3 linked regions of the Nothobranchius furzeri genome follow. The protein of the gene in region 3 binds, or shares a complex with, the protein of the main gene of each other region. Links are inferred from orthologs where the notes say so. Each region holds a gene or a part of one and is shown on either strand. Other genes may lie near its edges.

Region 1 (10,225 bases), on a different chromosome or scaffold from region 3:
TGATATAAACGTGCAGCTGCAGGATGATTAAGCCAGAATGTTTCCTAAGTGTTATCTATTTGTGTGGGAGCGCAGATGTGAATGCAGATGTGATTACCTGCAGCAGGAGGGGCAGGAGGAGTCTGAGCAGCTCGTCTTCACCGGGTCGAACTTTCTCAAAACACTCCAGCACCCACGTCAGGAACTCATGTCTGTCCAACATCCCATCCTGAAAATGCCACGGTGTTTTAGTCAAAACAGCTAAAATATATCAGTTATTCATCTGTACGTTCCTTTGGTACGGACAGCTTTTTCTTAGAAGAAACTATTTAATATAGCGCCTCTCAAGATAAAAATCACAAGGTGCTTCACAAGAACAAAATAGTAGACTAAAAAAGGATTAAAAAAATATCAAAAAGGGAAAACTTAAAAAAAAACTGAATTCAAAAAATGAGAAAGACTCTTGGTGGCCTGCCTTTTTTTAGGGTGCAACGAGACTGTTTTTCAGCCCTCTTTCTGAGGGGGTCTGCTTCAGGCCGACCAGGGCCAACACACCCACTGCTGACAGCAAATTCACACCTTCCATTAGAGCAAGCCTCTGATTGGTGGGTCGAATCAGCCCACATGGGCTTAAGGCATGCTCAATTCATCATCATTCATTATCATGCTGATTACCTAGAAGCTGAAAATGTCTCTGACTGCATTCCTTGCATAACTAGGCAAGGATGTGTGGAATCAACCGGGCCAGGCTGGGGCCGACTGGAGCTATCCGGGCAGGGCCGACCCGGTACAGATGGGAATGGCCCATAAATGAATAAGAAAATGGTGATACAGGATCCAGAGAAAGGCAGAATTGGTAGAGATGGAAGCATGAAAAGAAGGTAGTGAGGAAACACGCTTACTTATGTTTAGCCAAACGTTAGCAAAGCTAAGGTTATTTTAGGCTTTATCTTGAAAAAAATAAGTACAAATTAAGTTTTATTTTCTTGCATGACTCAAAATGTACACGTTTATTAGAACTCAAAACTAATCTCATTTGTTGAATGCAGATTTTGTTTGGGAGGTGCAGACGCAAAAAAGTCAGAAATGTCTCGTAACAAGCCATGGGTTTGAATTTTCACCAAGGAAAATAAATAAAATAAAGGAAAATACAAATAAATGTAATGACTGCAGAACAGGAAAGAACTGGTGCTGCAGATAAACTCCTCTAAATCTGATCCTGGAACAGCTTAGATGTCCGACGGTGGGAGAAACGGACCTGAAACATGAACATGGCGAGCTTCTCGTTGTACTCCCACTGCTTCATGGCCGTCTCCACATCAGCAGGCATGGTCGGCAGTGGCGAGCTGCAGCCCTGACTGGGGAACTGTCGGTAGAAGTCTGCCACCTTCTGCAGCTGCTCCCACAGATACTTGGTAATGATCTGGGTCCATTCTGCAAACGAACAAGAAACAAAAGTTGGAACAGACAAAAAAAAATCTCATTTCTAAATCAAATGAAACTACAAATACACCATTTAGATGAAAACGATCCACCTCTCACCTATACAAGGATCGATCACGTGTCTCTTTTTGACTTTAGTCTCGGTGATGGCTGCGTGATAAGCACAGGTCATCTTGATCATCCACGCAGACCGCATGACAGGAATAGAGTATTTGGCCAAGTATCCAAACACCTCCTCTTTTTTGCTGAAGATTGGAACCTGTAACAGAAACGTAAATTAAATTCGCACAAAGCTGACATCACCATCAATAAAACATACATATTATATGTATGTGTAACACAGTGAGGGGCTTGCAACCCTATGAACAGACGTTGCTTTAATTTGGCTAAGAAACTAAAAACCTCTCGGCACAATAAGTAAGAGCACAATGGGTTTACTAAAAACAAGGAAAACACATGAAGATTTCAAAAATCGATATTATTTGTGAGAAATTGTAAAATAAAAATTACAAAAGCAGCCGACAATGAGAGCATTTGTGTTTTGGGTTAAAAAATCCCTAAGACAACAAACAGATTTGGTTTATTCAGATGCACAAATATAGTGGCTTTTAAAAAGGGATTTAAACACAGAATTACTGATTTAAGCTGCTTTCGCGCCGTAACATTAGACCTGAATAATCCAGACAGGGTTTGCTAAATTAGGAGATTTGTTTTTAACAACCTGAGACTAGAGTTATCACGGTGTGAAAATTTAACCTCACAGTTATTGTGACCAAAATTATCACGGTTTTCGGTATTATCGCAGTATTTTTTTAAACGCGTTACATTTTCAGACAACTAAATATCAGGAGATTATCGTCCTCAGTTTGTGTCTAAATTTTGCCTAAAATGTGTTATTTTGTAATTATGTTGTTTATTTGTTTACATTTTTCCCCTTTAGTCTTTAAAACACCAATATTTGCCCATAACTTCTTATTTTTTGTCTGTTTGATGTCATCATTTTAAAAATATTAGATCAGATGATACTCAGTACTCAAGTAGCCTTCTAATCAGATACTTTTTTACCCTTACTTGAGTAAAAAACCCTATATCAGGAAAATATTGTCCTCGGTTTGTGTCCTTCCAGTGAGCTTTGCAGATGTGGGAAAATGTCATCAGGCAGTAATCATTGTTAAATTCATAATTATTCTCAGAGAGAGACTAACTCTTATCTGCCCCTGGGAGCTCCGTAATGCATAGCATCATTTCAACATGGGGGTGTCCTCGACACGGTTTATATGCAGGTAGCGGGCGCTGCGGCTGCTTTATATAGCGACTCGTTGCATTCTCCCTCAACCCAAATCCTCGGATCACGCATTTTAGCTAAAACGCTAACGCTTGCTTGCCTTGCGTTGACTGTAGAGTTGTGGGTGATGGTCACGCGGATGTGTCATGAGATTTGAAGCATTGCTGCCTTTCACAGACTTTCTCCTGCACGTGCTGCAAACAGGATAGCCGTCTTCTATCAACTGTCCCTTGGCATTCTTCAAATATCCAAAAAATGCCCGTACTTCCCACTTTGTCTTCTTTGAGGGATAATAAATGTCCTGAGCGCTGCCGTCTCCTCCTTTGGCCATTATTTCAGCTTTAGCTTCAAGAAAGTTTTGGTTGTAAACAACAAAGTGCGCATGTGCCGCCGGCAACTTCAGCAGATGATACGGTGGCTGGTAAGGGTCACCGCTCCTACATTGCAGCTTCGGTAATCCACCGAGATAATAGATTTTTAAAAAACAAGACGGTTATTATTATTGTCAACTTTTTTTACCGGGGTTTACCGCCACACCGGTTACCGTGACAACCCTACCAGAGACCAATTTTTCTTCTTTTACAGAGCCAACACAGCCTCCCTGTGCTCGTCAGCAAATTCAGATCATCTCCGTAGCTGCTGCGTTTGCAGAACGTTCAGGTAAAAAAAACGCTCAAACCGATCGAAAGAGCAGGATCCATCTCAATAACCATGTTCACCAAAAACCTGGACTGCTTTTCTGTGTAAGATCTCCATGGAAACAAAACAAAACCTGAAAATCATTTCATATAAACAAAGTTTAGAAAATATTACAAAAGCACCGATTAGATGCAGGAACTGAAAAAGTACTGATTTCCCAACTAATTATGTATGAGAAGAATGTAGCAATGATTTGCTATAAAGGAGAAGCTTTGAGTCCTTTAAAGATGAAGACAGGTTCCATATTTCTTCTGTTTTAATGACAGGAAGCAATCAATGAATAAACCGCTGGGAAAGGAGTCAACAAGTCTGAAAATCGATTAGAGTCCTCACAAATACAACTGGCAGCACAGAACGAAGATAACATCTTCATATCAGGGCCCTACTTTCAGTATTTGTGTAAAACTCAAGCTACCATGTAGTTAAATAAAAACAATAAAGGATGTAGTTATTAAGTGAAACTGACATATGGCACCAACAGCAACAAGTCAAGGTAATAATGGAGTAATCTGATTACACTTTTTTGTGGGAAAATGCATTAACACTTAGGATCAAATATAATTAAGCAACAAAAATTATTACATTTAATCACACATTGCTAAAAATAGTTCAATCTGTGCTGATGCTCCAGTTTTTATATGTGATGAATTTCTAAACCGTTTTGTTGAAACTGACAGAAATTCTCATCTTTTTACCAAATGTTGACATGAAAATTACACAGCACAACCAAGTGATGCAACCAGAACTACATCAATAAACAAAGAGTGTTTCCGCCACAGCATCCTATAAATAGGTGGAGTTTTTGTTACGTCAACGAACCAAACAGGTGATTTAGTAAAAGCAGCTCACCTTTTTAGCCAGCTGTGTGAGAGGTTTAGTCCCAGCTAAATCTGTGAACCAGTTATTGATGGAGCTCTGTGATCGTGCTGTGACCAACCAGAAATTGTCCTTCTGGTTGACCTGTGGTTTACGTTTCCCTGTGTCTGGAAATGTGTTGTAGCGCAGTTTCTCTGCAATGATGCTGCTGAAGTTGGAACTGATCTGTAAAGCAGCAGGACCCAGGGAGGATGGACAGGAACCATTAGTGTCAAGTGGCTGTGATTGGGACACAGTCCAGCATCACTGTTAACATGTTAGCCATTACCTTTGAGGGGTTGAAGTTGACATTTCTGGCACTTCCATGTTCATCACCAGACACAGCTGGCTGGTTATTAAAACCTTGCTTTACGTTCAGAGCAGTCAGCTCATCCTGAAACACATCAAAGTGTAAAATACTGAAAATGTAATGTTTTTATGCAAATAAATTCATTTCAGCCTCTTAATCTCAGATCACAGACAAGCGAATCACACATTTATCAAGCTCGAACGGTCTTAATTTTACTGACAGCAAAAAATAAATATAAGTTACAAAATTATCTGAGAAAACAATAGGCTCGGATTTAAACAAAATAAAAAAACTTCTTAGTTTTCAACAAAAATATGGAGCCAGAATGACACAAAATGGAAAGCAGCACTAATTAGCTAGGCCACACTCAATATCAAAACAAATTTTTGTAAAGCAGCCAAATCAATAATAACATCAGATTTTTGAAATACGATCATCATTATTTTTTATCACAAAACAAAGGAGTGGTGACAGTCTGGGTGAACGTGAAAACCACCCACCAGTTTAGCTAACGCTGCTATCAAACGAGCCGGTTGTTTTTCAACTAAGCTGCCCAACAATCTGACAACTAGGAGCAGCTCATTGTTACTGCGAGGCCCGAAACGTCTGCAGCTCTGCTAACATGCTAACTCTTGCTAGCAGCGTCTTTTGCTGGACATTTTCGCTAATAAATCGCACTTTCTCGATTTCACACTCAAAACGGTGAAACCTCACCTCTTTTTGCTTTGGATCCTGGGGATAAACGTCTGGAGGGCCAAGCCGTGGCCTCTTCAGAGGCCGGTGTTCGTAACTTAGGATACCGAAGGCAGCCATCATCCAGCGGCATCACAGCCGAGCCGACGCTTTTCTCCCCACTAAGCAGCAGCAGCTCGTTGGAACTACAAGTCCCAGCAGTTATTGCAAAAAGCCACACTTTCGGTTTGCGTCGTCCGTAAATTTCAAAATAAGTGTAAAAATTACATTTAATTTGGTAAAATCTATAATTTAATATAAATAAGCAATATGTTTTAATGAATAAAATGTTCTACATAAACAAAGCTGCCTTTCCTTAAAAAACCTTCAACAAACATTCCGAAGGTTATCAATTTCAACATTTGGAGGGACATTTGAAGGAGCAACATTGCCAAAATTCCCAATAACTTCTTTTTAAAAATTACAAAAGGTCCTAAGGAAGGCTCATATATTAGCCTTGGAAAAAGTAATTTAGAAGGAAGACTTCCAAGAAAATTTAAGTAATAAGCTTTCAGGAGAAATTAGAGATATATATCTGCAGGATTTAATTTTCACATGTTTTACAAAAGGAACACAAACATCACACTCATTATATGTACACAGAGTTTTTTATTGGCCGTAGTTCGAGACAAAATTAAAAAAAATGTTTTAACTAAATCAGAGGGTTAACTTGTGCTCGGAGCTGCATCTCTGCTCTCTATACATCACTGCTTTTAGAAAAGAAATAAATAAAGAAAACAATCTTTTTTATAGCGGCTCTCAAGATAAAATCACAAGGTGCTATCCAAGAACAAAAAATGTAAATAGAAAAAATTTAAAAAGGGATTTAAAATTTTGCAAAAAAGAACATGTTTTTTTTTAAAAGGTGTTGATTGAATAAATGTAAGGAAATAGGGAGAAAGAAAATGAATAGGAATGAGGGAAATCAGTGGATCCTGGTAGGCAGAATTGGTAAAAAGAGCAGAATAAGGAGAGGGTGGTAATGAAGGTCACACCAAAGCCACCTTGAACAGGTGTTTTCAGCTGCTTTTTAAAGGAGACCAATGAGCCACTGATCTCAGGCTCAGGGGGAGAGAGGTCCAGAGTCTGGGGCCACAGCAGCAAATGATCTGTCACCTACGGCGACGGTGGCACAGGAGTTAAGTGCTCGCCCTGTAATCGGAAGGTTGCAGGTTCGAGTCCCGCTCAGTCTGTCGCTGTCGTTGTGTCTTTGGGCAAGACACAACCCACATTGCCTGCTGGTGGTGGTCGGAGGGACCGGTGGAGCCAGTGCTCGGCAGCCTCGCCTCTGTCAGTGCGCCCCAAGCCAACTGTGGCTACATCGTAGCTCATCCCCACCAGTGTGTGAATGTGTGTGTGAATGGGTGAATGACTGATTGTGTTGTAAAGCGCCTTGGGGGGTTCCAGGACTCTAGAAGGCGCTATATCAAATACAGGCCATTTACCATTTTTTTACCTTTGGTCTTTAGCCTGCTGCGCTGCACAACCAGTAGGCTTTAGTCACTGGACCTTTTAGACGAAGGCTATGGAGTCTCAGGATAAATTACTCTAGTTTCTTTAAAATTATTTTTACCTTTTTAAAGTTTAAATCTTAAATTTGAATTTTTCTTTTGCATTTTCTGCAATGCGTTTTCTTAAAATCGGATGTCTTATTCACATTTCAGTTCATTCTGATAGCAGTTGCAACACTGGCCCAACTTAGCCATTAGTTTCAATTATCAAGGTAAAAAAAAAAAAGAGGTGCTAAAACAAAAGCACCATTAAATACCAAACGGTATGCACCAAAAACACTAAATTATCAAATTTGTTTTAAATCTGAAATAACAACAAACAAGTTTCTCCACATAGTTCACATGTCCACATCTCTCTTTTACATTTAGAAAACCAGACATTTTCATTTATATAAAAATATTTTATTCAAAAACTTATATTATTATTGAACACTCAACAAAAGTATTGCAACATTACAATCCCAAGTGTAAAAAGGCAATGTTATAAAAGTATCAAAGCAATAATAACATATTGCACTTTTTAACGATTGTTCAGCAAATACTTGACTATAAGGCAAAAAGTCTATGATCTTCAGATTTGGAGAAACATTTAAAGACATCCAGATGTTGATCATCATCCTGCCCTGGTTGCAAATTGCATACAGTACTTTTCAAATGCAACACATGAATAGATTGTATTCAACATCGAAACAACTTTGCTTGTAGAATATTAGCAAAAAAAAGTGTAAAATGTGCACATTTTAAACTCCAGCATTTGGGACATTTAGCTCAGTTTTGAAGCACAGTACTTTGCTTGCACACAGTCTAACATGGCTGACTCCATTATTTAAAAAAATAGCTCTCTAGGCACATATCTCACTTGAAATAATACGCACAAATATTATTCTTTTAGACTGCAGCAAAAAAACCGAAAATATTTTCAAAATCTTTTAGACAGTGCCTCATAGGAATGTAAAACAAGTGTTTATCTTAGAGACTCTGTAATGAATAATTAACAAAAATCCTCACATACTTCAACTGAATATTATGACACAGCAAACAAAATACTATCTTAAGTAAGTTCCTGCACTTTGAGGTCTTAGTGACAAAAAAAGACCAAAACTAATCTAAAGTTTCACTGATTACTGACCTTCCAAGGAAAAAGGAAGCACCGCACAAAACATAAAGTGCTGTTTGAGTCTGAACTCAGTTTGATTTGCAGTTGGCCGTTAGGAAATAACTTGTGTGAAACGGCAGTGGACACCACAGTTTCGTCGAATCTCATTTTGCATAGTGAGACTGGACGTGTTTTAGGACATGAATTTAGTCTCTGGATCTTTGACGTGGTAAGAAAGAAAACAGACACTGTTACACAGATCTCCCATCGCTGGATTCTTTCTTTTTCCAGCACATCATGACAGGACTGGTGAAACTGTGTAGTTTTGAATGTGTTTTTACTGCTTTTTTTTTTTTGGGCAGCTCTCAACTCCAGTGTTTTATTTATCATTTCAGCTTTGGCTCTCCGATGCTTGGATCATGGCTCTGAATCTTGAGTTTTCATCTGCCAGCAAAGCTGCAGGAGAGTCGAACTCCAAAATCTACAGGAAACAAAAACAACAACCCAAAAAGGACAAAGGGGAAATCATTAGCACTTAAAAATTGGAAACTTTCTCATTGACGGTGAAATAAAAAATACACTTGGATTGTGCTCAACCACCCTGTTAGATCTTGACACACACATTTCTACTTTATAACCAGAAAAGGGGCAAATAATTGACTATGCCTTTAAAGATGCAGTATGTAAGAATATAGTGAGAACTTTACAGTGAGAAAATTCCGAAAGAGTCTAATGTTTCAGTCATTTTGGAAGGAAGGTTACACTGAAACATTTCATACTAGGGCTGGGGGATATGGCCTTTAATCAATATCACGATATGTTGAGGATTTCACCTTGATAACGATACATGGACGATAACTACAGGTATGTGCAGAAACAAAAGTTGTCCACTAGGTGGGGCTGTCACATGTATTACGTTGAGTTGGGTCACTTGTGACTCAAGGTAGTACAGCTTCTTAAAGGTACATGAACGTTGCCAACCTACACACAACTTTAAATTTTTTTATTATCAAATTTATTGATATAGGACAAATTGTTTCAATACGAGTCAGACATTTCGATAACGATACATTTTTTATTTATTGCCCAGCCCTATTTCACATCCAGCTGGCTGTGGGGATTGTCAGTTTTTCTCCTTTCAAAACAAAAGAAGGAGGGACGTAACTACTGTTTACCAACAGTGAGTGTGGGGATGCCGTGTCTCCTGCAAGCTAATCTTGCAGCGATGACAATTGTAATTTGACGATGGCTTGCAAAAAGCTCCAGAGTTGTTTAAAGTGGTTGCAGAAACCACATTTTACCACAGGATGTCATTTTTACTTCATTTCTGCATAATGCACCATTAAGATTGAAATATTTAGACATTACTAAGGCTGATTTCTTTTAGCTCCAACTCGACTAAGTGCTATTTAATATATGCGTGATGGTTAAGAGCTTATAGACTCCTTACACAATAAGTATTACACGGTTATTGTCACAGAAATGTTTTTGACTTTTATACAGAAATACTTAATAACTGCTGAAATATCCTTTAAGGTGCTGCTCTGCTCACACAGTCGAGTGGAAGCAGCTTCAGCTTGTGAGTGTGTTTCAGTCGGCAGAGTCGTGTTGCATTTATGCACACCTGGCCGTTGTCGAGGACCATGACCCTGCTGCAGTTCATCACAGTGTTGAGACGATGTGCGATGATCAGAGTGGTGCAGCTGCCAAACGCACTGCGAATGGTCTCCTGGATGAGACGATCTGTCTCTGTATCGATGGCTGCTGTTGCCTCGTCCAGTATGAGAATCTAAAGCAGAAAAGAAAAATAATTGTTTCAAAGGAAGGTCAAATTACTGTGTGCGTGTGTGTGTATTTGGCCCTACAAACGCTAACATAAGAGGTCTAGCTCTTTATCAGTAAAGATGGCAAACACCAGGTGGCAGTGGTATCCCACTCAGTGAAGAACACAAGCTCTTCTCTCATTTACTGAATCTGGAGAGATCATCACCAAGGTTTGAAATGTAAATGTGAGGTGGCGGCATTATGCAGTCGGCACCTTGCTGTTCCTTAGAAGGGCTCTGGCCACGCAGAGCAGCTGCCGTTCTCCCACCGAGAAGTTCTCTCCGTTCTCCGTCACCTCCGAGTGGAGTGAATGAGGCAGTTGACTGACCTGAGGATGGATTCACAGAGTTTCACCCAAGGGTTTGTGTCATTTACTACACCATCATCTTATCACTCACCATCTCTTTAATTTGGGTTTTTTCAAGAGCTTCCCAGATCTCCAGATCAGAGTATTGATCCCACGGGTCTAAATTGCTCCTATGGGGATATGA
Region 2 (10,275 bases), on a different chromosome or scaffold from region 3:
CTCCAATAACTTTGTTGGTTGGAGGCAGCCCGGCTAACCGCTAGCTACAGCGGCTCGGCTCCGTGGGTTAGCCACGAGCGAAGCGGCGCGAATAAACACGCTTGGTTAATCACAGATTATGTTATTTGCTCGAAGTACACACTGTTAGCTTAAATATAACTTGCATTAGCCGCGCTGCTAACGCTCCTGCCGAAGACAATCGAAGTTAATCTAATGGTTGTTGTTGTTCGCTAACTAATGGCTTAGCTCGCGAGCAAACTGCGCCGTTAACCTTTTAAAAACTACCCCGGTGACATTCACCTCACCGAGCCGGTTACGCGGCTGAAACGAGGCTTGTTAGAAAGTCCGACGTCAGAAAGAGATCGGTGTTGTTAACATCGCCGACACTGATCCACCTATCCATCCATCCGGTACTCTGAGAGCTGCGGCTTGTTGTCCTCCGCACAGATTGAACAACCCAACTCTATCCGAGCTCAGACCCCACTGCTCTCATTGGACCGGGGCTGATCGGAAGCCGGGCTCTCATTGGTCCAACTGCGGAACAACAGGCGGCAGGATGGACCGTCCGTCCGTCCGCCCACCCACCCACCCACCGAGGCCACATGGAACAATAACCGAGGCTGGGGCCGTGCTGCATACCGGGGAACAGGGGGGAGGAGTGCTGGCTTCAAGGGGCTGAAGAGGCGGTAAAACAAAGTTTTGTAACAAGTGTGACACATAAATAAACAAATGATACAAACATTCTAATGTTTATGAAAAGCCTAATGAATGGAATTTATATGTTGGGCTGTTTATAGAACTCATGATATGCTACATTTGCATTTGCATCTAACAAAACAAAACAATTATCTATAGTAGCTAGGTCATGTTGTATATGGTAAAGGTCGTCTGTATATTTGTAAAAAAAAAAAAAAAGTAAAAAAAAAGACATTTAGTTATTGTGAGAAAAGCATTTCAGTATTTGCCAAAACAATTTCTTAAATATTGCAAAGTATTAAATTATTGTAAATACTAGTAATTGTTTAAAAAGAAAACTAGATATTTTGCCACATAGACAATAAATGCATAGGAGTATTATAAGTGAAAAATTGTTACACATCTTTAATATTTGTAAAATATAGAACAATGAAAAACTAAATATTTAATTTTAAAATAACTACGTTTATGAGAGATTTATCTCTTTAATAAGATTTGTACTACCCTGAGCCCGGCGCGGTTCCATCGGCCCGGCCCCCAGCAGCGCCGAGGGGTGCTGCTGAGCCAAGCAGGCCCAACAACATTCATCGTGTCGCGATGAGCACGGGACCAGAGGACGACGGTTGCAGATGAGTGGAAGAGATGCCAGGAGGAAGAGCGGGTGGACGAGGTAAAGAAATGGCCACAGAAGACCTGGAGGAGGTCAAAAGTAACATCACAGCAGGATCGATTAATGAGACTGATGGAGGAGGTGAAGGAGCTTAAAATACTGCTAACTGAAGATAAGAAGATTTCGGCCTAAGAGCAAAGAGTTGATGAACTTGAACAATATACTAGACGAGAGGATTTGGTGATAATGGTGGAAACCCGACACAGAAGCTACGCAAAAGCAGTAGAAGATCACGACGCAGCAGGAGAGGCGTCAGACAAAGAGCCCGAGACACTAGAGCAGCAAGCGGTTACTTTTCTGCACAGCAAGAACATAACTACTCAAAGAGATACTATCATCAGAACTACTCAAAGAGATACTATCATCAGAAACCTGCAGTGAACACGTCTGTTTTCCTCTAGTGGAAGACCTGTGTATTACAGGCGACAGGTAATAATAATTATACAGTTATATTTAATTACATAAATAATGTAATCACTAAGTCATTTAGTTATATAGTCCAGTAAACTGTTCATTTTATAACGTGTGTGTATTTTAATTTAATGCGTCAGACATGTGAAGGGTTAAACTGTTCTAACTTCAAATATGGAAACATTTCAACTTAGTTTTTACATCTTCTCCCCACATGTATTTCATGTACATTTTTAACTTTGGTCTTTATTTTGAATTAAGTCTCATTAGATGACTTTTCTTTACATTCCTAAATAATGTTATTGATAAGAAGCATCTCACTCTTGAATGTGAATTAAGTGATTTGTTGAAGTGCATGTGGGAGTTCTTGTTTTGTGTTCTAATCAAACCTTCAGGTCTTTGGGTTAGGGACCGGTGAACATCCAGGGAACAGACATTGAGGTAGTGGACTCTTATAATGACCTGGGTGTTCACCTGAACAGCAAACTGAGGCCATAACACAGATATTCTTCAGTAAGGGCCAGAGCACACTACCCGCTGATGCCACTGAGGTCCATTGGAGTGCAGGGGGTGCTCCTACAGACCTTGACTAAATGGTGGCATCAGCCATCTTTGATGGTGTGGTTTGTTAGGTCAGCAGCATAGCTACTGCTGAAAGACAGAGACTAGATAAGCTTATTGACACTACATCTGCCCTAGGATTTCTCCTTGATCTAGTGCAGGAGGTGGGATACAGGACTGGCTAAATTAGCATCACTTTTACACAATGTCTTCCACCCCATGCATGAAGCTGGGGAACTCCTACAGCGGCAGAATGCTGCATCCATTGGTGCACGGAGAGTAATCCCAGGTCCCTATTTACACATTTCTCCTTTCATGCCATCACTCCTCATTATAAACTTCGTCTATCTGCACAGATTTTTTTTATTCGATTGAATGTTTTAAGAATTTCTTGCATATGTTACAGGATTTTGTTCTTCTTTGCTCCTGATGTGAATGATTGCTGCTGTGACACCAACATTTCCCCACCGAGTGTAAGGAATTTTTACTTCTTGCAGAAATAGGTAGATTTTTGTCTTTATTTTTGTCTGTGTTGAGCATTTGCATCTATAGATTGTAGCTGTATTCCTTTTAACTGTATCAGGGTAAACAAATACAAAACTGAAGTTACAAAAATAGAACTATACAAATCATACGGTTTCCATAGGACCACATTTAACACACATCAATACAATCATTAAAAAATGTTATTAGTGCACATTGCTTCCTGTGATTTGTAACTTCCGTAGCTTGTTGAACAACTCCAGGTACTGAGTCATGGTGTCGACAGAGTCTGCTGGTGCAAAAAGACCCTCAGGCTTGGCAGCAAATACAGTGGGAAGCTCAGGAACATTGTTGCCAAGAAAAGACAGCATGAACTCCTTCATGAGGTTCCAGCAGTCCCCTGGAACCACACAGGGACAGTACTCCACCTGAGGAAAACACATCAAGGGTTAATCCTGTCAAAAAAGAGAACAATGGGCCTCTGGTCTAACTGATAATACCAAACTGTCACCTCCACTGATATCCCTCGAACACTGGAACTCATTGTGACCGTGCCAACTTTAATCAAGAAGTCACAGTAGCGATATCTCGAACCGCGACACTCCACCTTGTGTCCCTTGGCATTCTGGAAATGGGTCTTCAGCTTCACCATGAGGACGTCAAAGTTTGTGTCCGCTACCAAACAGGGTCCTCCTTCAAACAGAGCCAAGCAGCTCAGGGGAAATTCAGAGTTGTGCATTACATAAAGGAGCTTGGAGGGCTGACCTGTAACAAACCCAGACTTAAAGTGAGAAATTGCATGAAGAACAGCAAAATGTAACAATGCAATTTTTGCATAATGACTTTGCATGATTTTTTTATTTTTGGACACAGATTAGAGCAGCATGCTTATTAAGTTTAAAATTACACAAGTAAGTAGTAGAATCATACCATGTCCTGTTTATATAAATGTTGCTTATGAGGGATGCGAGAGCAGACACCTTTTTTTCTGGAGGACACTTGAGCTAAATTAGATCATGATTTACTGCTCTGCTAATGGACTCATTGGTGGAAACCTGGAAAAAAAAGACTAGTAGTAACTTAGAAAGATAAATGCCAAATCAAACGTTTATAGACCCCGGGTTGCGGATGTTTATAAAACATAAAAATAAAAACTATTTTTCAAGGAGCTTAATGTAAATGGCCTGTGTTTGTATAGCACCTTCACAGGGTTCTACATCCCCCCAAAGCACTTCACAACACAGTCACTCACACACACACATTCACACGCTGGTGGGAATGAGCTATGATGTCACTACAGATGCCCTGAGGCGCACTGACAAAGGCGAGGCTGCTGAGCACTGGTGCCATCGGCCCCTCTGACAACCACCAGCAGGCAAGGCAGGTTAAGTGTCTTGCCCAAGGACACAACAGCAGAATTCTTTGGTCTGAGCCGGGATCGAACCTGCAACCTTCTGGACAACCCGCTCTACCTCCTGAGCTACTGCTGTCCCATTTAAACAAATTTAAGCGGATTCTTGCAGTGGATGGGGCTTTTTAAATGTTCCTGACTTCTGGGGAAAGATACAGTGGAAACGTGGCTCATTTAACCTTGCATAACATAGTAATGAAGATTTACAGAAAACCTTTCTAAAACACACCAACTGTATTTTAATCTGGCTATTTTTACCCAATGGATGACTGTTTTTGTTAACCTTACAGAGAAATAAGATCAGTAAAAATGAAAATTACATAGCTTGACAATATATTTGTCACAAGGCACACATATCCTGGACAATTGAGTTTAAGTCAAATATTTGACATAATTATTAGAACATTTTCAAAAAGCAGAATTTAATCAAAGAAATATGACAAATTCCCCTGCAGCAAGTTGTATTAATAGCAATGCAGAAGACTATCCATCTAAAGCACCTAAACAACAGGAATGATAATATTTATATGGTTAATAGCTGAAAATTACCGCCAGCGTTTACTGTTGATTGATATGTTTCACAGTCTACACAGAAGTTGCCCTGCTTCACAGCTCCAAGCTGCTCCAGCTTCTTATGCAGAATGTCCACTGTCTGTTGGACACTCTTCCCCTCCGCCACGGGCACCTGGCAAACACTGCACAGCACAAGAACAACACAACACCGTGAAGCAACCTGTTCAAAATTGATCATGTGCAATAACATTTGAATGTCCTATTTCTGTTTACTCAATATGCTAAAATTCTGCTTACTGAACCCAACTAATATATATATTACTGTTCATTTTACATTTATATTATTTCTGTATTATTTTTTGTATAGTTTTCCATTTTGCACTAAAGAGAGTGGCACTCTAATTTCGCTGTACACCGTACAACGACAATAAACACTATTCTATTCAGTGTAAAACGGTTTGGAAGCAAATAAAGGCTACATTCACCGAGTTAGCTACACATGCCAAACGAAATCATATGCACAGCGTGATAAAATATATTACAAAAATATTATTACAGTTAGCATTTAACTACAACATAAGTAAATCTGCTTACCAAGTAACACCCATTGATTTCTCGCCTGCAAAAAACACTCGTGAAGCAATTACTTCCGGATTAACATTTACACTTCCGGTGCACGTAAACGACCTTGTTTCAGAAAATTAAAAAACAAACTCAAGAAACTTTATAATCATATTGCATAAATGTATGTTACATACAAACATATAAAATCAACATCATATAAAATGGTATGTTATATATATGTTTTTCAGTGCACAGACGTTACGTATATCGTCACTTCCGCCGTACGGTAATCTGCACGTGTAGAATACAGACTGTTTACAGAATTCTTTCTCCGCGTTGTTTGTGTCTCTAATGGTAAAACAAAACACGGACAGCGTCGTCGCAGCTTGAGTCACTCTTGAAAGATGCCGAAAGTGAAAAGAGCTAAAGGTGGCGGTGGAGGAGAGAAGAGTGGCGGAGGAGGAGCGGTGCCACTGGCCGACCAGATCCTCCAGGCGGACACGATCCGAGCCCGAGGCCGGGTGAAGAATCGAGACGCCCGGGTCGAAAGTGAGGACACCTACGTGGATGAACGTCTGTCAAGGAAAATCTTACAACAGGCCCGGATTCAACAAGAGGAGTTGCAGACCGAGTATGGCCTGGCACCTGAGCAGAGGAAAGCACCAGTCACTGTTCTCGGTATGATGGAGGGTTTCGGACCTTAAATTGGCAGTATTTTTTTTAATTAAGTCTGGTTTATCAAGCGTAGAAACCACGAAAGTGTTTTTGTAATTAGTTATACGGTGTTACTTATGCAACATCCCTTTATTTCTCTGCAAAAATAAAACTAATGACGAATGTTTTTTATGTGGACAAAATGTCAGACGATCACAGAGAAAAATAGTTCCCAGCGTGATCTTCTCAGAACTATTTAGGTGAAATAAGTCTTTGCTGAATGCATGAATAATATTTTCTAATGTTGTCTGACCTGTTTATTTTAGGCCCTGAGTCCCAGGATGCTGACTCAGATGAAGATTGGCCAGTTCTGGGAGAAGCAGGTGCTGGGGATGGTGATGTGGAGGGTGATACTGAAGTCATCGTTGATTCTGATGATGAGAAGGCCATTGAGATGTTCATGAATAAAAACCCTCCAATGAGGCAAGATTTCTCACAACTTTGTTTGAATTCTAGCTGTTGGAATTTGCTAAAGTCCACTTTGAGGTTAAGTTTATGTTCGTATACTCAGCTGTTTTCCTCTTTGTGACCATCACAGGCGGACCTTAGCTGATATTATCATGGAGAAGATCACAGAGAAGCAAACCGAGGTGGGAACAGTGATGTCTGAGGTATCAGGGGTTCCAATGCCCCAGCTGGACCCTAGGGTGACCGAGGTCTACCGGGGTGTCGGTAAGGTAAGTTATACAGTTGTTTGTGTTATGTTGAAATGTGTTCTCCTGTTAAAAATGATCTCACCTACTTTGTTCTTTTCCCAGGGTATCTGCAGGTTTAAGGGTGCCAAATTTAAGACTTTTTAAGACCTTTTTAAGGCCACTTTGACCAAATCTAAGCTATAATTTCCGGCTATTGCCTGGAACCGGTGCCAACCACGTCGCGAACGTGGGATTATCCATCCAGTAGCCATTAAACTTGCCCTTCCCCATGGCTCAAGCTCCCACTAGCTTAACCAGCTAATGTGCTAATCTAAAAATAGCCACCTTTCACAACCAACTGAATGTGTACGGTTCTGCTTACGCCAACATCATACACACAAAAAAGCTGAACACTAACTAGAAATTCACGAAAATGTTATAGTAATAAAATAATCTTGTTTATTGGGTCTTTGGTCATTTAAGACCTTTGGAAACTGTATTTAAGGATTATTTGTAATTTTTAAGGATTTTTAAGGCCTTAAATTTGGAAAAGCCAATTTAAGACTTTTTAAGGACCCGCGGATACCCTGTTTTCCCCTTTACTTTAGTTTTTAAGCAACTGTATTTTAAAGGTCCTGTATCATGTCATTTTACACCTTCCAGAGCAACAGTAGATGCAAGATACTGTTGATTGTATTGTATTGTAGTGTACTGTTGGCACTTCAGAGATGTAATTTGTTTATTGAAATTATTTTTGTGAGACATTCCTTCAACCCAGAAATAAGATGCTTGGATTCAATTAAACCCAGCCCGACCCCCCCTCCCCCCCCTGTATGAAATTCACAGTAATATACAGCTGCAGACTTGGAGACTGCAAATCCATGGCAACATCTCTTCTCAAGTCAAGCTGCAAACACACACAGAAAAAAGATTGCCGAGATGGTAGATGCTGAGATTCTCGGCCTGAATTATCTGAATTATGGTCCCAGTCTGTCCCTGACACTCACCCACCACACTTTATAACCATTTGGCATTTGGTTAGCATTTTGGTTGTACTCACCACTCTGGCTCTTCATTTCTTGGTTTTAACACTGGATCGACGCCAGTTTCAAGTAGTCATCTGTCTGAAAACCCACTCTGGTAGTGGTTTAACAAGCAGTCTATGAAATCACAGCCACATTCTGGCTCGGTTTTTGAGAGCTTCTGAAGATAAAATCCTACCAGAAGAAACTTCTTCTGAAAGACTGGATGGGGTCCTGTATCTCTTGTAGACTGAAATAAAATTTTGGGTTCCAGGCATTATCAAAAGTGCAGACTAGATTTTTAAAAAATCACTTATTTACTTCTGTGGGGATTAAACTTATCTCGCTACAAAGAGAGACTGTGCATTAGTGTTTACAGTCCAGGGGAGGAGGGATCCAGACTGAGTACTGCCTGGATGGGGAGGAGTGGGACATGATGACACAGCAACAACTCCATCCAGGCTTCTGCAGCAGATGGACACACCGGCTAGGATTTGCAGCTGAGACAGTAAAATGCGTGCACGAAGCCAAAAATCACTTTGGGGTGGTTTTTTAATGAGGAAATAACTATTTAACAAGTTCCAAAAAAGTAGATTTAGCATGATATATGATCTTTAAGAAATATGTTAAAGATCTGAATTGGTTTCTGGGAAGTTTTTGTTATTGTAGCAAGAAAATATAAAAATATGCCAAACTTATTTAAAAAAAAAATACAGAAATCAAGGAATCAGAGTTCAGTTTCCTCATGTCAGTTGTGTTTTCCTTTTTGTCCTCCTTTTAGATTGTTTGTTTTTAATGAATGTGGGCTTCATTTTATCATTCCCATCTCCAAACTTCGGAATATTGTTCAAACGATGATTTTCAGATTTAGCAAGTGTTTTTCAAGTCAACTGTAATTTCATCATTTCTCTTCCTATCTTTTAGGTTTTGTCAAAGTATCGCAGTGGAAAACTGCCAAAGGCTTTCAAAATCATCCCGGCTCTTTCAAACTGGGAACAGGTTCTTTATCTGACTGAGCCTGAAACCTGGACTGCGGCAGCCATGTACCAGGCAACAAGGTGATCTCCCTGTTTGTGTTCCATTTACTGAGTTGATCCCAAATACTCAAATTTGAACAAGGCTTTGATGATGTCATATAAAACATTTAATGTAAATGTTCTTATGTCTGGATTTGGGAGTTAAAGACGCATTCCTGAACTTTGCGGATATATGCTCTCTGTCCAGGGGCGCAGATAGGATTTTCAAACTGGGGGGGGACAAAGTTCCAATGTACCCTCCCCCAAACACACGCACGCACACACACACACGCACACACACATACACAAACTATTGCAAGCGCCTCAACTAGAGCTCAGTCAGTTTGTGTAATTTCCTCCAATGGTTTACGTAAAAACTAACACTTTTATATATGTGTTTGAAGCCGTTACGCAGTGGAACGCTGGCAACAAAGCTCTGCCTGATCAACACTATGAATGATAAATGACCCGCACTTGTATAGCGCCTCTCAGAGTAAGGACTCCAAAGTGCTTTACACTACAGTGTATCATTCATCCATTCACACACACATTCACACACTGATGGTGATGAGCTACGATGTAGCCACAGCTGCCCTGGGGCGCACTGACAGACGTGCCCCACTATTTAAATCAGTCATTATTCTCCCAAACAATTACTAACCAAAACCTCATGCTTTATGCAAAACATTAACTGATTTTCAGCATACCAATCTTTACAGAAAACATAAAAGCCCTAAAAAACTGCACATAAAATACATTTAAAAAACTAAATTCACTTATCACTTAGAGCAGTGGTTCCCATCAGCCTGACCAACAGATGTTCCTTCGTATTTTTACGTTATTTATAAATTTTCATTATATTTGGAAAGTTTTAATTTATATATAAATCACTTTTAAAATTTAATATTTCACTTTTTTTATGATTATGTGGCACACTTGACTTCCATAAATAACGCATCGGCATCTGCCTCTTTTTATGGCTTTTTTTTTTTTACATTGTCGCTACGTCTGTCACGTTTGCGGTGTTTTTACCATCATTTCTACATCCATCACGTCCCAGAGGTTAAACCAACATCAAACCCAACGTTTGGAGCTTGTAAACTCCACACACTTCTCGTGCAGCACCAGCTGTCTGATGCTGCAGCAGCGTCAATCTTCCCAGCTGGATGAGTGAATTTCTTCATCAGAGTCAATATTCTGCTTCATAATCAGAGTCAGTCATTACCAGACAAAGTGATCAGTCAACAAAGACCAGACCTGCCGGCAATTACACGTTTTATCTAATATTTGCGCTCTTCATGCTGCACGCATCTCCTCCTCTCCCCGACTGCGAGCCTCTAGGCGGGAGACGTTTTTCAAGCTCTAAAAACTCCCAAACTTTGCTCAGCCTGAAGGTTCCACATCTCCACTATCTTCTGGTGTAAAGTAGTAACTTCATGAGGGATCATATTTGTAGATGAGACTTGTTAAAGTCAGCAATGATGCTTTGGCGCTTATAACCAACATGCATAAACAGACAGATCGGTCCTGCCTACTTACATTGTTGGTCTTTTTTAAATAATAATAATAATAATAATGC
Region 3 (10,010 bases):
CTTGCAGAGTTTCTGCCTTTACCTCACTGCTTACAGGGTATTCTCTTGTTTCCTTTGACTCTTTGGTTCCCACTTTTATTAGTCGATCCTGGCTCCACCTCTCCGTAGTCCCACTTGTGTCAAGATTTAGATGGAAAAGTCCTTTTATGGAAGGAAACTTCCCAAATTCCAGAGTAGTGGGCGTGGTCCAGAGTAGTGGGATCCTCCCTGCATTCCAGACTCGCCAGACCAGACAAATGACCCCAACTCCTGAGTCACTGGCAGGAAAAAGGTTTGCAGAAGTTACTCAGGTGACGTAATGTCGGCGGTCTTGGTTTATCAGGCTGAAGCCTGAAATAAGTAAAACCCCTGAATGAACATAAAATACATCCACAGGAAGTGGAATTCTCAGGTCAAAGGTCATCACAAACTCATGTGCTTGTTTAAACCAGCTGGTGGGTCCTGACCTTAGGAGTACCTATAGAGCTTCTCTCTGGAATGTCCAACATCCCCTCAGGGCTTCTAATCCTAGACAAGGTAATAAAAACTGGCGTGAGTGTGTGTTAGATGATGACATCATCCATGTGCATCAGCAGCACTGATTCAGTCCACTCATCCTGTTGCACCCAGCGTGGTTCTGGTCCCGTTCAGTAAGGCTGGACCCAGATACCGTTCTCCGCCTAGCTCTTGCCCCGCTGAGACCTGGCCGCAGCTCCACAGAAAGATTCAGATAAGGGTTGAATCACACGAAGGCCAGTACTCCGTTCTAAAACTCCACACACAAACCTGTCAGCTTAGTTAGACATGTTTACGTTTTAGTGCCTTGTTGGATCAGCTGTTCAGACACAGGGCGGTGTGCGCCCCCTGATGGACAGACTAGAGAAGCACAACAAGAAAAACATCCTGGGCCTGAAGGAGGAACACACATATGTTCACCTCGGTGGTGACAGAAGCAACATGAAGGACCCACAAGTCAGCTGGCAGAAAAAAGATTTAAATCATTTTATTTTCAAACAATTTAGATGTTAAACACTGAACAAATAAAGACCCAGTTGAAACTCAAGAAAAACTATTCATCAGTTGTAGCATGTCCTTTATTGCCAGCTGTGTTGTGCAGTTTGTCTGCAGAGCCGCTTCTCCTCCGATCAGCAGAAAACGGTGCGTATACCAGAGTCGCGACCATCACAGGTGTGGATGTTCTCACCGACGTCTACACAGGCTTGTGTTGTGGAAACACTTCCAGACCTAACGTTTACCAAGGCACAATGGTAGGGATGAGAACGAGGACCGCAGCTGCAGAGGCCAACCTTCATTTAACTGGTCAGATAATGATTTATGATGGCTTCTTTTAAATAGAAATAAAATTTAGAAGGTCACTCATCACACAAGGAAGGGCCGAAATGTTCTCCACCTCTGACTTTTTATGTCGGCGGTTTAAACAGGAAACGGGGCGACTTTGGGCGCATGACTGAGACACGTCTACATTCACATAAAGGCCGTTAAACTCCAAATGAAAGTCTGTTAAACAGCTTCTGAGGATCCTGCTTTAATCCCGCCCACCTGACGGTTTCTGATGGACACGAGATGTGTGTGTCCACGGGCCAGAACCATCAAACCAACCCAGAGGTGCGGCTATGCCTGCATCAGTCACCGAGGATTAGATGGGAGAAGAAAAACATCCCATAAATGAACTAAATAGATGTTTAGATAAGAAATGCACCCTTCAGTCCAGATGAGGCCTCTTGTTGCAGCTCATGTGCTCCAGCGCTCCTGGACACACTGGGCTGGACAAGACCAGCAAGCCTAGCTTAGTCCAGCCCAAGTCCTCTTAACGTCTTCATCACTACCAGTGGTTCATTTGGTTTAAACTGAAACTCAAACAGCCCTTGATGTTAAAACTTAACTCTTTAGGTTTCATACCAAAGTCTCAACACTCTCACAGGCGGAGCTGTGGCGACGGGAGTCGAGCGGCCTGGGCTCGTACCAAACTCGCAGCAGACAAACAAAATCACAAAGGATCTCGTCTCCATCGAGACAAAAGGTGAAAAAGAACCAGCAGCCGTTCTAAAGCCCTCAGTCCAGGCACACATATGGCAGGATGTTCAGTCTGCTTTCGTCTCCATGAGGGTCCAGTGATATACACGCTGTCCAATCATACCAGGCTCCCTTGGTGTCGTAACAACCGTTCACCCCCTGCCAGGTCTGTGTGTGTATTCTGTCCAGGTCCTCATCCGTCACCTCCCGACTCACACCTGGTAAATCTCCTGTTAAATGGTCCGTCTGCAAAACGTGTGTTTTATTTGAGTCTTTAGTCTCCCTTTCTTCCCTTTTTAGATATTCTGACATGAAGAAGTGTGCGCTAGGGGCCTGGACCCCCGAGGAGGTGAGCACGTTGCTCTGAAGGTTCAAGTAGGATTGGATTATTTCATTTCTAGTCAGCTCCTTCCAGTTGGTCTGGTGGAAGGGGTTTGAGCTGGGACCTGGGGCGGGGGCTGCACAAGGGGGCTGTTGGACAACGACTTCAGTTCTCTGCCTGGACTCTCCCAGGTCCGGAGTGGGGGGGTCCTCTGTTGGAGAAAGTTCTTTATGCACCAGAGGTTTGATCTGACCAGTGACCGGGTCAAATGTCAGTCTGCGTTCTTTTAACCGCACAGGTTTAGTCGTGTCCTCTAGTTTCAGGCCATCCAAGTTAACGGAGTAGTCTCTAGGCCTGTACTTCCTCCTTTTATGCTCAGAGTTAAGGACTGGCCCATCAGGGTCATCAGACACACTTAAGCTTCTTTCAACCACCAACCTGTGGACCTCTGAGTTCTGCGGGGGAGGCGGGGGGGAGGGGGAATCCAGTGTTGCAGATAGATCTTGGGGAGAGCAATGAGAGAATACCTCTGATGAATTAGCAGAGGGCACTGAAGACCGAAGAGAAGAAAGTTTTTCACTGTGAGACACCGGTGCTGGGGAGGACAGAGGCTGGGAGAAGAACAGGGGGGAGTCTCTAGAAGATGGGCTGGGGACCGGCGTTCCCTTTGCTACGTACGCTGAACGCTTAGAAACGGGGTCTTGCTTTAGGCTCCTGGGACTGGAAGTGAGACTGCGGGGACTCCTCGCTGGGTAATAGCCCCCGCCCCCTTCTTCCAGTTTAGCTTGCTGTTGCATCACAGCAACTTTAATCAACGAGGAAGTGCTAGGTGCTTTGGCCATGCCAGGGGAGCTGGGACGGGGCTTGACAGCATTAACTGGAATTCTGTTTCCTTTGTCATTTTCAAGGTGGTCTGTCCGAGGCCTGTCAGGAGAAGGAACGACCTCCTGGTCGGCCAACGCATCGGCACCACCAGCAGTCCCGTTGGTGGGTGGCGGAGAAACAGAGTCATCAAACGCCGACAACCTGGAGATTTTTTCTGTTACGTACACGCCACTGTCTCTGTGCTCTGCCCGCCGCTTGCGGTTACTTGACTTCTCAGCCTTAGGCGAGTATGTGTTGTGAGCATCACTTCGGATTGTGACTTCTGTGACCGCTTTCCCCGATACAGAAATGTCAGGGGGAGAGGGATCGGTTTTGCAGGGATGGGAACTGCCATTGGTAGACCCCGGGACACTTGCTGAAACAGCCGGCCCAGGTTCAATCAGTTTTTGCCAGTTTCTCAGGAGTTTCTTTGCACGCCTTGCAAGGTCTTCATCCTTGGTTTTCCTCCTTACATCATTAATCAGTTTTCCAAGTCGAGTTTCCTGAAAATAAATAATTAAAAAGTGAAAACTATTTTGGCACCACAGCCTCTGTAGGCATTAACCGCCTATGACACGTTCATTCTTACCTCAAGTGCTTCTTTGGTAATCGGATACTTCTCAAGACAAGCGATCACTTCCAATACAACCACCATGTTGCATATCTGCAACAAGGACATGCCAGCAGTTAGTAACCCCCAGCTTCTACTGGTGGCAGTAATATTTAGATTTACAGCTGTAGTCTGTGGATGAAAATGTAATCACACTGGACAATCCCACCCAATCACATTCCCACAGTAACAGGAACTCCAGAGATCTGGACTAACTGCTCCCTGACTCCGGGGTGGAAAACAACATGTTCATCGGGAGAAACTCAGCTGGATGTTTAGCTCCAGAAACCGAACGATGTTGCAAAGCTGATGTGGCACAGAGACACTCAAAAATACCTGGAATCATCTCAGCAAAGGTTTATGAACTTGGAGCAAACCGAGCATCTTGTCGACAGCGTCAGCCCTAGCCCGAGTCGGTGGACCTGCCTGTGTTAGCTAGTCAGGGTAGTTAGCATTTAACTTACTTTAGAAGGAAGGAGCATTTCCTCAACGCTATTCCAGCCACTTGGTTCCCTAAACTTTGTGATTGTTTAAATAAAACATTTTCACTAAAACTGTGCTGTTTGGGATAACTTAAACTTTTCTTTAGATGAGATGATTTCGTAAAACAACGACTGGATTGCTCCTTTATACCAAATCTGCTTTGGTGTTAAGCTACGTTAGCAGCTAACAGGCTACATAACGGCAGATATCCGTCCAATCAACGCAGCGCTGCTGCTAAATTAGCTGGCATGCTAGCTGTCAACTCGCCCCGAGCCTTTTTGTCACCGAGACATCCGACGTGTCGAGGCCGAGCGCACCTTTCAGCGTAGTTTGTATAAACAGCGACGTGCCACCCGAACAGCTGCGTGGATGTTGATAGGCAAACAAGCTAGCGTTAGCTTTAGCATTGCTCACATTGCTCTGACTGTCAATGGCCTGCAGCAGCCGGTCCTTCATCTGCTGCGGGGTTGCTGAGACCGTTGTCATTGCCTGTTCGGTGCGATCCAGGAGATGGAGGGAGGAATCCTCCAAAACGAAAGCCGGGTGACTCAGAAGCCGCTTCGGGAACACGTCGGGCGCCCGAGCAGCATGCTTTCTGTCGCATGTAGGTCTGAGTTGATCTCACATGGAGTCGGAAATATGTGAGCGGAGCGGAGTCGCTGCTGCCTCGGACCTCCTCTCACTACCAACTGCTGGATGCCTCAACGGCCTCCTGCTGCATGCTGGGATACGATGTGTCTACGTCATCACGTTCGTACGTAACCAAGTAAACATCCCGACCACAGTGACGTTTTTAAATATAAACTTTGTGAGTTGTTTTTCAGTAAATATTTGATTGACCGATTTTATATGAAACGTTTAAATTAAATTAAATTCAAGTTTATTTATGCAGCAACTTGGTGGACTGAATGACGGACTGACAGTTATGAAAAACCTGTTTATTACAGATGATACATGTTTGTGATTATAAAAATAACAGATCTAAGACAGATGCTAAAGCACATTGTGATTTCCTACGGACCTGTGAAAAGGACAGCTTTTGAGAGCTTCTGGCTCATGCTGTCACACTGAAAGCTACGAGTGGCTAATCTTGCAAGGTGGTGCATCCTCAGCTTAAAGAACAGGGAGACAACAGATGTCAACAGTGTACGGGAGTGACACTCAGTTCCGTACGGTGTCTCACTGATGAGCTCCCCGAGCAAAAACACATCCTCTGACCCGATCCTCTTGTGCACGATGTAGATGACCTCCAGTGGTTTGATGGGCTGTGATCGTCTGCCCACTGATGCCTGGCGAATTGCCCACTCTGCTGCTCTGATGACCCTCACAGCACCTTCAGATGGGACCACAAGACCCCGTTGTTCTGCAGAGACAGCAAATGTAGCTCTGGTCATCACAGGCAGATGCAGCATCATCACCAGGCTGGCACGGCAGACATCACAGGACAGCTTGGTCATGGCTCGCCGCACAACAAATCCTGAAATTACAATTACTAATGTAACTGGACAGTGTGCTTGTCTTCATACTTTACATAAGCCTATAGAACAACACGGTGTCAGGTGAGAAATCAGACAAGAACTACAGTTTGTCTACCTAAAGTAATCATGATTAGTAAGTGTGGCATTAATTCCTTGTATTTATTAATCAGGGGGATTTGATGAGCCAGCAGTTTTTCTAAAGACTACAAACATCTTTTGTGTTTTTCTTCTGACCGCTTTTTTAGGTTCTTTTTGAAACACGGGGAAGGTTTTTTACCTGCTGACACTTTTGATTGTGTCTGCGATCTTCCTCAGAGCTGACCCCACTGAGCGTTTTTTTTACACTATCTGAATGAATAATAGTTCAAAAGCAAAGCAGATGACAGAGACTTATCAGCCTAACACAGTTGAATGTTTGTTATTGTTAAATCGTATGAATGACACGTTGCCGTGACTGAAGACATCGTCTATTAGAGCATCCATAAGAAGCACAAAAGTCAGGCATGCTTGTTGTGTTTCACGCGTATTTCGTGTCCCATTGATCATTTTTCCTTGACCACAAAAACAAATCATGACATTCCAATTAGATGACGTCAGCACATCTGTTGCACGTACGTTGATGAAGCCGTATGGAGTTGTGAGAGCAAGCATTGCTGGAATCCGAGTGTTCACTCGTATTTGTTCGTAGCGAAAGATTCATGGTAGTTTTGAGGGATTTTTTGGCTGCTGCAGGCCCCCGTACTTGTTACCTGGTCACACAGGTGGGTGGGCTCAGCCCATCTCGCCACACAAACAGGAAAAAAGACACCTGAAACTGTATGAAGCATGACGGCTAAATATGGGAATTCATCTTAATTATTACAGATGTGACCGGCTACTGCTAGCTTGCTTTTGTGTCATTAGACCAAGAGGGGAACTCCACCTGGCAAAAGTGAACCCTACTTGAAATGAACAAAAGTTGCATATGCCGGTTTCTGCTGCAGAGATTCCATATCGAAAGTGTAGACTGGACACAGGGCGGGGCTACACATAGAGATCTGGCTGCTGCCAGGTTAGCTGTCATTGGTTATTGGTCATAAGGTTTCTTAGAACTTTATTGAACTCCGAGCATAAAGAAATACCAACACCTCAGCACTTTGTTATTTTTGTGAAAGTTAAAGTAAAAATTTTTATTCTGGCTACTGATTTGTTTAGTCTTTCACGTGGGAATATCAAACTTTAAGGTTAATTAACTAAATTCAGTTCATTTACATAGCCCCACGTCAGGACCAGAGTCGTCTCAAGGACCTGCACACAGTAAACATTCCAATACAGGTCAGGTCATTAAGCCAATCAGTAACACGTTTCCAATAAAAGGAACCCAGCAAATCGCATCGAGTCACTGACTAGTGTCAGTGACTATACAGCAATCCTCATACTAAGCAAGCATGCAGCGACAGTGGAGAGGAAAACTCCCTTTTAACAGGAAGAAACCTCCAGAGGATCCTGGCTCAGTATAAGCAGTCATCCTCCACGACTCACTGGGGATGGAGAAGACAGAGCAGACCAGGCTTATGATGGAAATGTGGAACTCGGAAAGTAAAAACTGAAAAGGTGGACTTTTGCATAAAATAAAATAGATTTCATTGCAGTATTTTTCACTCTGGAAGACAATCCGTGGTTACTAAGTTCAGGGTTAGCAGTTTACTGGAGCTGCAGTATAACATAGCCTGGCCTACCAGACTCCTCCTCTGTTTAATTCTACACAGAGAGAGTCTGGTAACGCTCCAATTCAAATAACCCCACCCTCTGAGAATTCTAGCCAAGCCGATCAGCGCCGAGCACACCGCGACGCTCAGTTGCTCATAACAAACAAACATGGCGGCTGAAGCGGGGTTCGATGCGGCTCTTTCCTCTGTTCTAAATGACTTGAAAATGTCTTTAAAACCAAAGCCTTTCTTCTATAGAAAGATGTTTTCACCGTCAGCAGGTGCAATTTTTGATTACAGCTAAAAAACTACAGCGTTGCACGGTACATTCGGCATTTGCGCCTTTCTTCTGATTGGTTATTTTTGAGCTGGCCAGTCCCGCCCCTCATGTGCCTCTGCCTGTGAGTTACCAGACTCTTTCTCTGAGTTAAACAGAGGACGAGTCTGGCAGGCCAGGCTAAGTATAATCTGCTTTCTGGTAACTATTTTACGGATGCTGATCCACAGGTATGTTTGATGCTTTTATTAGAGGTTTCTCTGCTGCTGTGGCCCCCAAACTCTGGACCTCTCTCCCCCTGAGCCTGAGATCAGTGGACCCCGTGGTCTCCTTTAACCCTCCCACTGACCTAATAGGTGTGGCCCCACGAGGAAAGTTGACCATTGAGCAGGATTGATGGTTTATCCCTTGGGTCCACGTGGCAGGGGTGAGGAGTGAGCACCACCTCACCCCTGCCACGTGGACCTCAAGGGATAAACCATCAACCCTGCTCAATGGTCAACTTTCCTCGTGGGGTCACCCACGAAGACAGTGGGAGGGTTAAAAAGCAGCTGGCTGTGGTGTGACCTTCCTCACTACCGTTCTTTGTGCTGCTATCTCTACCAATCCTGTACTACCTTTTTCATATTTTTTGTCCTAATTTTTCAGTACCGTATTTTCCGGACTATAAGTCACTCCGGAGTATAAGTCGCACCAGCCATAAAACGTATAATGAAGAAGAAAAAAACATAGAAGACGAACTGGACTATAAGTCGCATTTTGGAGAGAAATTTTATTATTTTTCTTACAAAATCTGAGACCAAGCGTTTCACATTACAAGACAAGTACGGGCAACAATAACAGAATAAACAACCAGTGCTGCATCAGCGGTACGCAGCAGCGCGCCACGGTCTCCAGCAGAGAATGGCGGTGTTTCAAACCCTCCCAGCGGGCGGGGAGAGCTCATTCCTGGTCCGGAGCGGGCCCACAGCAGCGCAGTAGATACATAATTTGGTATATAAGTCGCTCCAGAGTATAAGTCACAGGACCAGCCAGACTATGAAAAAAAGTGCGACTTATAGTCTCGCAAATACGGTAATTTCTTTTTCAATTTCCCCTTTTATTTAAAAAATATTTTGTTATTGTGAAGTGACACGTGATTTTTCTTTCTTTAGAGGAGCTATTTAAAAGATCAGACCTGCTCAGCAACTCTGGGCCATTCCGAGTAGAGTTCAGGTAGTCTGTTGGTCCCAGAATACAGCTTGGAAAGTGGTCGTTTTGGCTGGCCTGCCAAAGTGGAGACATGCCTTATGTTAATGCAAATTGTTTTAAATGCTCAGATGTGAAACTTGCCCCTCGCCTCCTTTAAAGGACTTGCAGCATACGGTTTTTGATCTTCCAAAACAACTATAGGCACAATATATGATGAAATATTAACGTTGTCACTAATGAAATGTAATTTTTATGAAACTATATATATATATTCTTTCCGTGAGCCATTCCTTTAACCCAGACGTTGTCATGCATGTTCTGTTTGGAATCTGGTTTTGTCTGTTTTGGGAAAATACTAGCAGGCAAGCAGGGTGAAGTGTCTTGCCCAAGGACACAATGACTTATTTTGCTTCTTTTGAAGCGCTTCGTGATTTTTAGCTTGAGAGGCGCTATAGAAATGATATTTTCTTCTTTTCTTCTTCTTCTTCTACAGACAGGTGTTAACCCCTTGGCCGCCAGAGTTTTTCCAAGAAAATTTTCAGTTTTGAAATTACTATTTCAAAAGGTTGTATTTAGAAAATGGTTAGAGATAAAGGTACCCCAGGGATGGGAGTAGATATTCTGCTGGGGTGGGGCTGGGTTGGTGCCCTCGGACTCCGTGAGGCTCTGTGATGCTGCTGCTTTGGGCCCTGGCAGGATGGGCTGGGGTCTCCATGCCCTGAGTGGCATTTTGGAAACAGAGGTGCCTATTGGGGCCAGTGGGGGAGCCGGCTCCCTGGAGGACTCACCCCCAAAATCCACAACCTCCGCACCGCCCCCGCCTTCCACAGCCGCTCGCTTCCGAACTCAATTTTTCTTGGTACCCGCTCTACAACGGCTCCGCTCCGGTGCGGAGACCTGAGGGGGGCAAACAAGCATGCGCAGGATTTTCGAGATCTTGCGATACAGTCCGAGCAATAAACGCGGAAGTTGGATCCAAACACCCGTTGTGTGGGAGAAGCGTCGGTATGAACTGTTTAATCTGCCCATCATTTGTGTTGAGAGATCAGCAGTGTTTGGACCAACAAAGTGTGACTACTTTGAT

What was found. Proteins that work in one complex are often made in the same cells at the same time.
Region 1: crsp7 (region 3) and med12 share a complex: the UniProt entries of both Homo sapiens proteins name them as parts of the mediator complex. The link is inferred for Nothobranchius furzeri from reciprocal best matches to the Homo sapiens genes MED26 and MED12.
Region 2: crsp7 (region 3) and med20 share a complex: the UniProt entries of both Homo sapiens proteins name them as parts of the mediator complex. The link is inferred for Nothobranchius furzeri from reciprocal best matches to the Homo sapiens genes MED26 and MED20.

Annotation. Positions count from the first base shown.
Region 1 is NC_091741.1:82,294,456-82,304,680, reverse strand, and holds the start of med12 (mediator of RNA polymerase II transcription subunit 12), read right to left. Parts: upstream 5,446-10,225; 5' UTR 5,388-5,445; coding exon 5,286-5,387; intron 4,656-5,285; coding exon 4,551-4,655; intron 4,448-4,550; coding exon 4,256-4,447; intron 1,682-4,255; coding exon 1,522-1,681; intron 1,414-1,521; coding exon 1,238-1,413; intron 209-1,237; coding exon 98-208; intron 1-97. Other genes in the region: wu:fb13g09 (ATP-binding cassette sub-family C member 5), read right to left, coding at 8,302-8,391, 9,535-9,699, 9,949-10,062, 10,133-10,211. UniProt on the Homo sapiens protein: Component of the Mediator complex, a coactivator involved in the regulated transcription of nearly all RNA polymerase II-dependent genes.
Region 2 is NC_091743.1:46,647,895-46,658,169, reverse strand, and holds med20 (mediator of RNA polymerase II transcription subunit 20), read right to left. Parts: upstream 5,446-10,275; 5' UTR 5,354-5,445; coding exon 5,340-5,353; intron 4,928-5,339; coding exon 4,782-4,927; intron 3,587-4,781; coding exon 3,333-3,586; intron 3,250-3,332; coding exon 3,028-3,249; 3' UTR 2,839-3,027; downstream 1-2,838. Other genes in the region: bysl (bystin), read left to right, coding at 5,714-5,987, 6,290-6,446, 6,562-6,700, 8,605-8,738. UniProt on the Homo sapiens protein: Component of the Mediator complex, a coactivator involved in the regulated transcription of nearly all RNA polymerase II-dependent genes.
Region 3 is NC_091751.1:71,977,265-71,987,274, reverse strand, and holds crsp7 (mediator of RNA polymerase II transcription subunit 26), read right to left. Parts: upstream 4,987-10,010; 5' UTR 4,779-4,986; coding exon 4,707-4,778; exon of another isoform or gene 4,610-4,706; intron 3,864-4,609; coding exon 3,789-3,863; intron 3,703-3,788; coding exon 2,053-3,702; 3' UTR 958-2,052; downstream 1-957. UniProt on the Homo sapiens protein: Component of the Mediator complex, a coactivator involved in the regulated transcription of nearly all RNA polymerase II-dependent genes.